3 linked regions of the Kluyveromyces lactis genome follow. The protein of the gene in region 2 binds, or shares a complex with, the protein of the main gene of each other region. Links are inferred from orthologs where the notes say so. Each region holds a gene or a part of one and is shown on either strand. Other genes may lie near its edges. The genes, in order: PET112, HER2 and GTF1.

What was found.
Region 1: the proteins of HER2 (region 2) and PET112 are in contact, whole or in part, in a crystal structure (PDB 4N0H), measured with the Saccharomyces cerevisiae proteins. The link is inferred for Kluyveromyces lactis from reciprocal best matches to the Saccharomyces cerevisiae genes HER2 and PET112. Residues at the interface, in NP_014021.1 of Saccharomyces cerevisiae: Val56, Leu69, Phe72, Pro75, Phe76, Arg176, Phe177, Gly178, Val179, Ile180, Gln184, Ser185, Met211, Lys212, Asp213, Pro214, Thr215, Ala291, Glu292, Ser295, Asn296, Ser298, Arg299, Tyr300, Arg304, Tyr305, Leu319, Phe320, Arg324, Asn339; in NP_009473.2 of Saccharomyces cerevisiae: Tyr66, Ile69, Ala70, Leu71, Pro72, Gly73, Thr74, Gln75, Pro76, Val77, Arg105, His107, Phe109, Tyr110, Gly111, Pro114, Gln115, Gly116, Tyr117, Tyr123, Leu177, Asp297, Arg299, Tyr300, Met301, Pro302, Pro304, Glu305, Pro307.
Region 3: the proteins of HER2 (region 2) and GTF1 are in contact, whole or in part, in a crystal structure (PDB 4N0I), measured with the Saccharomyces cerevisiae proteins. The link is inferred for Kluyveromyces lactis from reciprocal best matches to the Saccharomyces cerevisiae genes HER2 and GTF1. Residues at the interface, in NP_014021.1 of Saccharomyces cerevisiae: Phe72, Lys73, Pro75, Lys82, Phe177, Lys212, Ile239, Val240, Lys241, Glu242, Phe243, Ser244, His245, Glu246, Tyr256, Leu257, Leu260, Glu261, Ile264, Glu269, Ile270, Tyr271, Pro272, Val273, Ser274, Ile275, Pro276, Lys279, Asn280, Leu282; in NP_011616.3 of Saccharomyces cerevisiae: Gly29, Ala30, Lys31, Ile32, Gly33, Lys34, Lys35, Phe36, Met39, Ile42, Arg43, Tyr45, Leu46, Arg48, Val50, Trp51, Ser52, Val53, His54, Tyr56, Leu57, Ile59, Lys76, Leu77, Leu78, Arg79, Leu80, Ser81, Gly82, Leu83.

What each region holds. Positions count from the first base shown.
Region 1 is NC_006041.1:1,835,000-1,839,455, reverse strand, and holds PET112 (glutamyl-tRNA(Gln) amidotransferase subunit PET112), read right to left. Parts: upstream 2,399-4,456; coding exon 779-2,398; downstream 1-778. Other genes in the region: KLLA0_E20681g (uncharacterized protein), read left to right, coding at 1-314; KLLA0_E20637g (uncharacterized protein), read right to left, coding at 2,778-3,713; NUP170 (Nup170p), read left to right, coding at 4,352-4,456. UniProt on the Saccharomyces cerevisiae protein: Allows the formation of correctly charged Gln-tRNA(Gln) through the transamidation of misacylated Glu-tRNA(Gln) in the mitochondria. The reaction takes place in the presence of glutamine and ATP through an activated gamma-phospho-Glu-tRNA(Gln).
Region 2 is NC_006037.1:861,328-865,567, forward strand, and holds HER2 (glutamyl-tRNA(Gln) amidotransferase subunit HER2), read right to left. Parts: upstream 2,550-4,240; coding exon 1,140-2,549; downstream 1-1,139. Other genes in the region: chromatin segregase YTA7, read left to right, coding at 1-1,090; JNM1 (Jnm1p), read left to right, coding at 2,784-3,866; SLH1 (RNA helicase), read left to right, coding at 4,095-4,240.
Region 3 is NC_006040.1:1,295,129-1,298,310, forward strand, and holds GTF1 (glutamyl-tRNA(Gln) amidotransferase subunit F), read right to left. Parts: upstream 1,502-3,182; coding exon 977-1,501; downstream 1-976. Other genes in the region: rhomboid protease PCP1, read left to right, coding at 1-886; mRNA-binding ribosome synthesis protein NOP7, read left to right, coding at 2,027-3,182. UniProt on the Saccharomyces cerevisiae protein: Allows the formation of correctly charged Gln-tRNA(Gln) through the transamidation of misacylated Glu-tRNA(Gln) in the mitochondria. The reaction takes place in the presence of glutamine and ATP through an activated gamma-phospho-Glu-tRNA(Gln).

The sequences.
Region 1 (4,456 bases), on a different chromosome or scaffold from region 2:
AGTATCAGCAACCACTGCATTCGCAGCCATTCCACATGCAACAGCAATCTTTTCCAACTTTTGGTAGTAATTTTATCGAACAGTCTTTCTCTCAAGGTCATGACTTTATGAACCCTTTAACACCTTCGTCATCATCAGTTACTGAAAATAATGATCCACAACTACCTTATGGAGGGGGGTTATACTCTTCAAGTTCGTTATCTTCGACTTTCATGCTCTCTGAACCAACTTCGACTTGGAATAACGACTCTTCTGCCCAACCAACTACTTCTTCTGTTTCCATCTGGAATTCTGACATGAGCGTTTGGAGTTAAAGAATTTCAACGTTTCGAAATTTATGCGATATTCCACTAATGCAACTACACAACCCATGAGTAGTTTCATCTTTCCGAAAAACTGTACATTGTAAGTTCGGTTCCCCTCTAATTATAGCCTGAAGTTTCTATTTCTTCATTTCTTCCAAACCTGGATTTTGTTTATTGTTGCAATTACCTTAAGAAGGTGACTGCCTAATTTTTCTTTTCAATGGTATGGGTACCCTAATATTTTTATTCAGTATTTGTAGAATGGTTCTACACACTTGGTATACAAGGTTTATAGTAAGGAAATTTTATAAATGGTATATACTTTCATATTAGTCAGGTAGTTAAAAGGTATTTCGGTGAATTATCCTTTGAATAATCTTAAAATAGTTTTGGATCGTAGTATGTTCATTATGAACTTATCTATTCTGTATTTACATGGATGATAGTGTGGACATGTTAGCGAAGGAATGTAATCACGGTTCAACACCAAGAAGTCTTTTGAAAGTAATTTCGAATTCTTGAGCTTGTATTCTACCTTGAGATATCCTCATGGCCTGACCGACAAGGAACTTAATAGAATTTTTCTTCTTACCAGATTTAATATCTTCAATCATTTTGTTATTGTTGAGTTCGGTAATTATACTTTCACAAATTAATTCGAGCTCTTCCGAACCAACATCTGAGACTGCATGTAGCTCAAATTCCTCAATTAGAGCATTGAAATTTATTGGCTCAGAAGCCACAAAAGAGTTCTCCTTAAAGGAATTCAAAATATGCGATAATAAAAGCTTACCACTGGCGTTGCTGATGGTTTTCTTAGAGATTAGCAAGAGTAATTCAGCAAATTTCTCCGGAGGTAGAATATGGGAAACTTTGATGAGAGGAATTTCCATCTTGTTTAGGTTTCCCAAAAGTTCATGAATTATCCAATTTGCAGGTAGTTTTCTCACGAACTCTTCGTTTTGTTTCTTGCATAATGAGTGATATGCATCAAATGTACTAAAATAGCATGCTCTTAATTCATCATGGGAATACAAATCATCATGGCCATTACTATTGATTGTGAGAATTTTTGCATCTTTTAAAGTTAGACCGTAGGGCTCTTGCATTAACATCATACAGGTATCGTCTGGTAACGTTGGAATTGTCTTTTCTACTCCTTCAACTATTTCATTGGTTAAAAGAATATTTGGTAGTTCTGGATCCGGCATATACCTGTAGTCTATGATACTTTCCTTAGTTCTGAGTTTAACAGTTTCCGAACCTGTCCATCCCCTAGTTTCTGTGTGTTTGAGTTGGTCACCTTCGCCTTTTTCTATCATGTTAACTTGTCTATTGTATTCGTATTTGATAGCATTAGTGATTGAGCTAGTATTTGGTAAATTCTTCAACTCTACTCTGGCGTAATCATTAATAGAAAGATTTACATCAACCCTCATCGCGCCCGTTTCAAGGTCACCTGTAGATATCTTCAAATGTCTGACAAGGTTTTGATATTTCTTGATGAAAGCTCTTATCTGTTTTAGGTCTGTAAAATCGGGTTCAGTCACCATTTCGATCAATGGCACATTCGAACGATTTAAGTCGATTTTTGTATTGGAGTCAGTAGAGTTATATACAGATTTACCTGTATCCTGTTCTATCTGTAACTGAATGACAGATATGTCTTTGAAAGCCTCTTCAATAGAGTCTAAATCTTTGTACAATCGTAGTTTACCTTTACTTGAGAAAGGATTGTAATGTTGTGTGATTTGATAGCCCAATGGTTGATCACCATAGAAGTAATGTTTTCTGTCAAAATGTGAGTTTAGACTGACCTTGCATCGTAATGCTAGCGATAACTTCAATGCAAATAGAACTGCCTGCAAGTTGAGTATTGGTTGTGTTCCGGGTATCGAAACATCGAAATACGATGTATGATAGTTTGGCTTATCCACATCTGCAAACGGGCTGTTAGTTGACATTGAAAAAAGCTTATTGTCTGTATTCAGTTGAGTATGGATTTCAAGTCCGCATTTTAACTTATACTCAGGAAGAATTTTGAATTTGGAACCAGTATTCCTCTTAGCATAGTTCCTTCTAAACACCAACATTTCTGGTTATTTATAGCTTATCACTCAGTAGTATAACACCCACTAGAAATTCAAAAACAGCTAATAAGCAGTTGGTAAAATCACTAACACACAGCGCCTAAAAGCCGTTCTTTTGTCAAGTATGTTTGTCTTTATATTCATGTTCATTGCTTCTGTTAATTCAAATTTCATGTTTTTTACCCGAACCTTAGAAAATGTGCCATAAGCACGATGACAGATTTATTTAACTGACGATTGAAAGTGACATAACTTGTGCACACAGTGTATTTGGATAGTTTGAGCTTTGTTTGCCTTATTCTGTTTTATACATTTTTCATAAATATTATACACCGTTTCAGAATTATCTTGGTTTTCGAACAGCCATAATTATTGTTTCTAACTAGTTCCTTTTATCGGTGTGGAATAGAATAGAGTTTCTGTTCAAAGATTTCTTTCCGTCCGTAACCTTTTTCTTAACAGATCTACAGTGATCCAAACTATCTGGTAGTGATATTTGATCAACTTCGTCTTCGTAATAGTTACAATCTGAAATTTTCTGCTTAAACAACAGTTGGCAATCAATATCTTCATCAAAAGCACACGACTTAGCACGGAATTTTAATTTGGAGCTGGGTATCATTTTAGAAAGAGGTTCGATGTTTTCAATATGCACAGTTGCCTTTTCCGGTCCAACTGGTTCAATTTGTTGGTTATTGCACTCTGGTACTTCATTCATTGGGTTTAATATATAGAATGGCTTAACTGATTCAGGCAAGTTGGTAAAATCATCAATTGAAAACGCCTGTGAAAAATACCAATTTGGGTCCAACTTTTGGTACACTGACGGAATATAGCTAGCAGTTCGAAGGTTACCTTTTTGAGACCAGCTCAAGTTTGGTAAGCATTCCAATTCAAACAAAAAATTAGTTCTACACTTCGTCAAATCTTCATCTGAATAGTGAGCGTCTTTGATGAAATAATCACGATTTTGAATGCTTAATCTTCTTTCAAGGTCCTTAAAATTATCTTGTAATTCTTCTAACTTTAAAGAAGTCAAAACTTCTTGCTTTTTCGTATCTAACACAGTGTCCGTCTCTATATTGGTGGACAGCCTTTTGCGTTGTGGAGATTGTTTTTCGAGATGTAAGTTCAAAACCCCTGTAAGGCTGCTGCTAGCTGATTGAGGGCTTTCGTTTAAGTAAGGTATTTCAATCGGAATATTCTCCTTATTCAAATCTTCCAATAGGATATTTTTTTTTAAGCACATCCTTTTCGCCGGCTGGGTATTAACATCTTGGTTATCCAATGGGATCTTTCTTCTAAGCTTTCCGACCATTTTTGCCTTCTGTTTGAGCGAACGCTTTTCTATAGGAAAATTGCCGGGTAGTACTTTTCAAAGCAGGAGATTTAATTGATAATTTACTTAATTTTGAACTTATAATCAGGACCCAAGGTTTCTGGTATCATCTTTTATATTCCATTACCTATAGTACCAATTTATTGACATTTTGTCACAAAAGTGTCAAAATAAATGAACATGATAAAGTACCCATAGTTGCTAATACTAATATATATCGTCACGTATCACATGAAAACATACACTGGATGTTTCTTATGGGTGAAATCAAGAAACTGAATGCTTTGCAACTAGAATAAAGTTGATCTGTCGAACTGTAATGGTATTGTTGGCCTTTATGAGTTCACTATCATGTTCCAGTTTAGATCACCAGTTCCGGGTAATCATTTTCAAATTTTTTTCTTTGGTTCTCTGAATAAACAAATAAAGATGATGTTCTAAATCTACCTTGCAGAACCAGGTCTAACAGTTATGTTTCTCTAAGGGCACTTTGTCCAATTGGTTAACTGATTGCTCAGCATAAAATTTTGCTTTACTGTATCTGTGTACTTGTCTTTTTTGAATTTCGGAAATAGGGTATAGACTTGAGCTAACAGTGTATCGGCAAGACAGGACAGATGTCAATATATTCTACGCCGTTGAAAAGCAATTGGAATGGCAATGCAAACTTTGCCAACCCGTCTGCCAATGTCAACGGGCTACCGATGAATGGAATTGGCAAT
Region 2 (4,240 bases):
CACCTTGAAAATAAAGCTTTCTGGTTTAATGGATCTTTTCAAGAATCGTTACAAGAGGTTCAGGAAACCTCCTATTGATGATACGTTCTTGATTCACTTATTTGAGCCTGAAACCTTTGCTGCCAACCAAGGCTGGCAACCTGCTTATGTAAAGGACGGCGATATGATTCTCGAAGTTGCTACTGGTAGAAAATTCTATAACATGGATTTGGATATTATCGAAGAGAGATTATGGAATGGTTATTACTCTGAGCCGAAACAATTCCTAAAAGATATCGAGTTGATTTATCTTGATGCTACCACATCAGCGGACAGAGAAAGAGTAATAAAGGCATCTGAAATGTTTGCTAATGCACAAGTCGGCATCGAAGATATCTCGCAACCAGAATTTGTTGCAGAATGCAAAGCCACACGCCAAAGAGAACTTCTAAGACAAGAATTATTTATAAAGGAAAAAAGTGAACGAGTGGATAAGGAACAACAAATACTTTTGCAGAACAATCCAACTCAAACTGATTCGATCGCTACAGTTGAACTAACTACCGCCTCAGGAAACCAAGTGCAGTCTCAGGCTCAATTAGATGCGGGTACACTAGATCTAGGTGAAACGTCTCAAGTAGAGCCATTCACAACACAGCCTGTGAACTTTGGAACCAATGATGCTGATTTGGCAAAAACGGACACTGTTCAAGATTATTCGGAGAGCAGGCTTACCAATGCGGAAAATGGCTTTGCTCAGACTAGTCACAATAATTCGCATTTAACTGTTGATACTGAAGATGCAACTAATAAGGAGCAGGAAAAGCAACCACCGAGCGTCACTGAAGCTGAAGTAGAACCAGAAGCTCAATCAGAACCAGAACCAGAGTCAGAACCAGAGTCAGAATTAGAACCAGAACCAGAATTCGTCTACGATGAATCTAGAGCTCTCTCTTTGATCTCTGCTCTGGAAAAAAATACACAAAACTTCACAGTAGAGAAACTAGAAGAAGTTTATGCATCCATAGCCAACGTCATCTGGAACAATAGACTTTCATGGGACAAAACGGATGCTCTCGATCAGTTAGAAGGGCTTATCAAGACTTTATAAAAGAATTTCTGTTTATAGAATTATGGATTTTAACTAAACTTCAACTCATTTAACTATTTACAAGTGCATCAATTTCAGAACAGGCATCTAACAACTCGTAATCATTACCGTGTTGAGAGAATACTTGAATACCAAATGCGTGCCCTGCCGGTACAGTCATTGTTGGAAGCCCACATAATGACATGGGCATTGTGAATATGTCATTTATGTATGTATTCAAAGGGTTTTTATTCTCCTCGCTCACAACTTCATCATAGGTAGTAGGAAATGAAGTTGAGGTTAGGGACAACATGATATCAACGCCGTCTTTATTAACAGAGTTCCCACTTAACACATTTGGGAACCTGAAAGCCCGATCAAAGTCATTTATTAGTTGGACTCTTAGCTTTTGAGCTTTAATGTAGTTGTTCTTAAAGGACTCTGAGCATAAGTTGTAATTTCCCAAGATGATTCTGTTTTGAACTTCCGGTCCGAATGCCGACCTTGTTGGTGTAAATAAAGTACCATCTTCAACATCGGATTCTGCTCTATAACCGTACCGGACACCATCATATCTGGAAAGATTAGACACTGCCTCGGCAGGAGACAACGTGTAATAAATAGATAGTGCATTTTTCACTGATGGAATTGACACAGGATATACCTCATGCCCTTTCTTCATTAAACGTTTAATGATCGCCGTCATGGCAGCTCTAAATTCAGCAGGAACACTTTCCTGAGAAAATTCTTCCGGTATACCTATTCTTAAAGTCTTTCTCTTGGTTGTCAATGAAGTAAACTTGTGTCTCAATTCCTCGCTTAACGAAGTTGGATCTTTCTTGTCATGCTTATCTAACAACGAGAAGACCCTATCAATCATAGACAAATCGTTCGCAAATACCCCTACCGTATCCAAGCTCTGAGCATACGATATAACTCCATGCCTTGAGAGCCTACCATACGACGGCTTGAATCCAAAAGTTGAAGTGTATGAGGCTGGTAACCTTACGGACCCACCTGTGTCAGTTCCTAATGCAAAATCAACAACTCCGGATGCTACTGCAGCAGCAGATCCAGATGACGAACCACCTGCGATAACTCGATCCTTGTGATCAAAGAGCGGGTTGAATGTTGGCCCAAAATGAGAATGTATCCCAGCAGAACCCATACCGAATTCATCCATGTTGGCTTTACCAGCTATCACCGTTCCTGCTTCTAGCAATAACGAAACAACGGTGGCATCAAAAGGCGACATATAGCCATCTAAAATCTTAGAGGCACATGTAGAAGGCATATTCTTGGTGGCTATATTGTCCTTAATGGCGGCCAGGGTATAATTCAACGGTTTATCTGCGGTAGTGTTCTTATCTATTGATTCCAATTGCGACGATGCTCTCTCATTAACATATGTGAAAACATTGTAGCGACTTTGAATCTCCGGTATCTGCTGGAGCCTCGAAAGTGCCGTCTTGATAGACATGATCAGTAGCGAGTGTGTATGGTCAATTAAAAGAGAATTAGAGTAAGTCACTCCATTTTCACTTCCCAATGTAATATATTGTAGTGTATTGATTGAAAAGAACTAAATTCGATTCTAAGGTTTCATATCTATGAAACTTATTAACTATTGAACAGTTAAAGATCACAACCCGATTAGGGACCGATATATGGGACATACTAGCGCACATTCATAACTAGAGACCGGGAATAACTCATGGCTGTTGAAATAATCGATCTATCTACTGAGGTGGAACAATTAGGGTTACAAGGCGATACAGGGAAAGAAGTGTATGAGACCAGTGATGTTGAAGAAACACCAGACCAAGTAGTGATTACCGAGGCAAATGAAGATATAATTGAGGAGGAAATACCTAAGGTTCAAGAGAATAACGAAAGGTTCGAGCATTCTGTGCTAAGTTCGGAGGATACCGATTTTTCAGGAAAACTATACGCACTGCCGACGTATAATATCAGACATATAAATGAAACAAGAAGGCAGAGGCTGGCAAGGATACGGAGGGAGCTCCTTGAGATAGAGCAGGATTCCGAGGAGGATGGTTCCTCAAACGAATTACAGAACTTGAAGCAATTGTATGAAACGTTGGCTCAGTCTACGGAAAGTACAATGGAAAACATACAAAGCCAATTGGTCATAGCATCAGACGAGGATACAGAAAATGAGGTTACACTTCCAAACATCAGGATAGAAATCAACCAATTGAAGCAGCTGGAGGATATTGAGCATAAGATTTCCATATTGGAGTCACAAATCGGACCCTCGAATACGAATAAATCGATAACGTCAATCATCAATGAACTTCACAGAGAGATTAATATCCTCAAGTTGGATGAACCGACGTTGACTGGATTCCAAAATAAAATGAAAGAGATAAGTGATCAGTATGACCAGTCGATCATCGGAAGGAGAGCTCAGAAAGACCCAAATCTATCTACTGATATCGAAAGGAAGTTAAAATCTACAGAATCTAAGGTCAATGACATTTACGATAAGTATAACATCTTAAACAAGTACTCGGAAGTGATTCCACAAATCACAGAACGTGTACAGTCGCTAAACGTTCTACATACCTCTGTGAATGACATGAACGATACGGTATCTGAGATTAACGATCATATGTCTTCAGTTCATTCTCAGATCGAAAAATGGTCATCGCTCTTAGAATCCACGTCACGACAGCTTACCGACAGAGAACAATCCTTCAAGCGGACTAGGCATCAACTAGAGTTACAGCTCAACGATCTAGAGGTGAGAATAGGTAAATTGAGTGGCCAATAGCGTTTCTATGGATAGTTAATACTAGTAGTCAGTAGCCTTTTTTTTTATAGCTCATCTCTTCGCATTGTTAAAAGTGCACAAGAATCATAATTCGTAATCTTTAGCAAAGAACACCTTTTAAGTTGACTTTAACACAAGAAGATCAACGTAAAGCCCATATTGGAAAACCGTTACAGTCGTTATACTGTAGTTTGGCTATAGGGTTGATAATATTAATCTTTGTACAGGATGAGTACGACTTATTCAGTCCATTCCGTGGGCTCTTATATGAAGGCGATGGAAGTAATGGTTTCAGCAGCTCAGGCATTCCCTCATCTAGATACAAGCACAATCCCTAAGGTCGATGAGGAATTGAAGAAGGGTACTAAGCGTAG
Region 3 (3,182 bases), on a different chromosome or scaffold from region 2:
AACCAGTAATTTTAATGCCCTTTTCAAGCCACGCTCCCGATTCTTTACTACCACTTCTAATGCAAAGATTAATCTTAGGGATATGTTCAATGGATCGCAAAGCCGATACACCAGGCTTAACAGATTTCAACAGTATAATAGAGGTTCAGGTAACTCCAGCGAATTGATCAAACTTACTTTATATGGTGTACTCTTCATGGGTGGTACTTTGATGTTGGCTCCATACCTTTTCCAGATCCCTCCATTCTCATATTTCAAGAGACACCCGACCCATTTACCATACGCCATCATTGGTATTAATCTGGCCGTCTTTGGGTTATGGCAATTGCCAAGGTTTTGGGGACCACTACAAAGATATGCGCTTTTGCAAAAAGATCACATTTATTCCAAATGGTCTTTACTAGGTAGTGCATTCTCTCATCAGGAATTTTGGCATTTAGGTATGAACATGATATGTTTGTTCTCCTTCGGTACCAGTTTAGTCACGATGTTGGGACCTGGAAATTTCACCAGTCTCTATCTTAACAGTGCTATTGCTGGTTCCCTTTTCTCTCTATGGTACCCCAGGTTTGCTAAAATTGCTATGATGGGTCCTAGTTTGGGAGCATCCGGAGCTCTTTTCGGATTATTCGGTTGTTTCTCGTACTTGATTCCAAACGCTAAGATGATGTTCTTCATCTTTCCGGTGCCATTCGGTGCATGGTTCACATTCCTTGGATTAGTGACATGGAACGTCGTAGGATGCGCATTGAGATGGGGGTCATTCGATTATGCAGCACATTTAGGTGGTTCTGCGATGGGTGTATTGTACGGATGGCTAGTTGCGAAGTCTATCCAGAAACAAAGAGAGAAAAGGTTATCCCTTGGAGTATTCCCAAGATTCTGAGTTATACTTACCATCTTTTTACTTCTTCTACCTCTGTAAATAGTACATATGAGTTAAAATAAAGGGCTATTTCGTCCCAACCCTGAATATTCAATCTCTTCCCTTAAGTAGGCCTTCCCTTAAGATGAAAAACCCATCTCTTTTCACTGCAGCGGTTTTGGTAGGATCCCATGATCCGCTTATTTCGCCCAATGAGTCCGATTTCTGCTGGCTTGCAATCCCTTTGATTAATCCCTCGTAATCCAACGGAGTTGGATTCCTTTCTATAATTCTTGCATGGTTTGGATTTATATTTTCGTCAACAGGAAGATTATGCAAACGGTTGATGAACGAAAGTTGGTTCGCAAGCCTGATTTGAATCTGGTCTATATTCTTTATTGGAAGTCCGGAAATCTTTAACAATCTCACCACAGTTTCTTCTGATGGAATCAATTTCTCATCTACCGATGAGGGAACATATTCTCGTACATCCCATGTACTCTTACTCAAAAATTCTTCAACCTCTTTATCGCTGGTAAATTTCGGTCCTATCGTGGAGCCACTCAAATTCTGACCACATTTACCACTGGAGAAACGAATGCCGTGGATTGCTTTTCTTCTTAAAGCAAGAAGCATTGTTATTGGTATGAGATGTTTGAGATATACAGGTGAGAGCCCGGGAATATACCAGTCACAACGTTTTTATCCTCTTCAAATTTAAAAGTCAGAATAAGGAACCTTTCTTTACATTTCCGACGTGCAAGCTGTAATTAAACATTTTAATGATCACGTGAATAAATTCAGAAACTCATCTTGTACGGTTTTGATATTGTGCCCCAAATATTCCCCTTTTGGGATGTAGTCAACTTAAGTCTGAATATTTGTATCACGTGATTGATAATTTCTTTTTCAATTTCTGAAAATTTTCGTTTTCGAGATGCGATGAGATGCGATGAGCTTCAAATACAAATTGCACATACATCACTTATTATACGTACAATGAATGATTGAATAGACAATTGCTATCTCGATAGCTTGTCTTTGGTGGTTCTAGTTAAGTTATAAAGTGATTCAATTTGATAAGCTAGAGTAATCTTCCAGGTTCAGGTTTAAAAGATAGCTAACTAACTAGACAAGGAGAGATACTTTTTTTTGTTCAAGATGAGAATTAAGAAGAGAAATACCAGAGGTAATGCTAGAAACTTCATTACCAGGTCTCAGGCCGTTCGTAAACTACAGATCTCTTTAGCTGATTTTAGAAGATTGTGTATCTTCAAGGGTATTTACCCCAGAGAACCTAGGAATAAGAAGAAGGCTAATAAAGGATCTACGGCTCCTACCACTTTCTATTATTATAAGGATATTCAGTATTTGATGCATGAGCCTGTATTGGCCAAGTTCAGAGAACATAAGACTTTTGCTAAAAAGTTGACTAAGGCTCTAGGGAGAGGAGAAGTGTCAGCAGCTAAGAGATTGGAAGAGAACAGACCTAACTATCAATTAGATAATATCATCAAGGAACGTTATCCATCTTTTGCTGATGCCTTGAGAGATGTGGACGATGCCTTGAACATGTTGTTCTTGTTCGCCAACTTGCCAGCTACCGATCAAGTGTCTTCTAGAATCACACAAAGTGCACAGCAAATGTGTGATCAATGGTCTGCATACATTGCCAAGGAAAGATGCGTACGTAAGGTATTTGTTTCCATCAAGGGTGTTTATTACCAAGCCAGTGTAAAAGGTGAAGATGTCAGATGGTTGGTACCATACAAGTTCCCTGAAAATATTCCAAGCGATGTCGATTTCAGGATCATGTTAACTTTCTTGGAGTTTTACTCTACTTTGTTGCATTTCGTTTTGTTCAAGTTGTACACAGATGCCGGTTTGGTATATCCTCCGAAGTTGGATATTAAGAAGAACAAGCTGATCGGGGGATTAAGTGCATACATCTTGGAATCTAATGATGAGAAGAGTTCGTTGGCTGTGAAACCAAAGGAGCTATCGGAAAACGTTGAAGTTCAGGAATTGGGAGCTAATACCTTAAAGACCGCTTTGAAGGCAGACTCTAATGAACATGACGAAGAGGAACAAGACCAAGACCAAGAACAAAATGTGGAAGACGTTGAATTGGATAAATTTGAAGATACTAATAAGAACCAAGGTGACCAGTTAGAACAACCTTCTAAATTCGATTCTCCTGTTGCTACTTTGTTCTCGGAATTTGTATTTTACGTTGGCAGAGAAGTTCCATTGGATATCGTAGAATTTTTGATTCTATCATGCGGTGGTTCTGCCGTCAGCGAAGCTACATTGGATC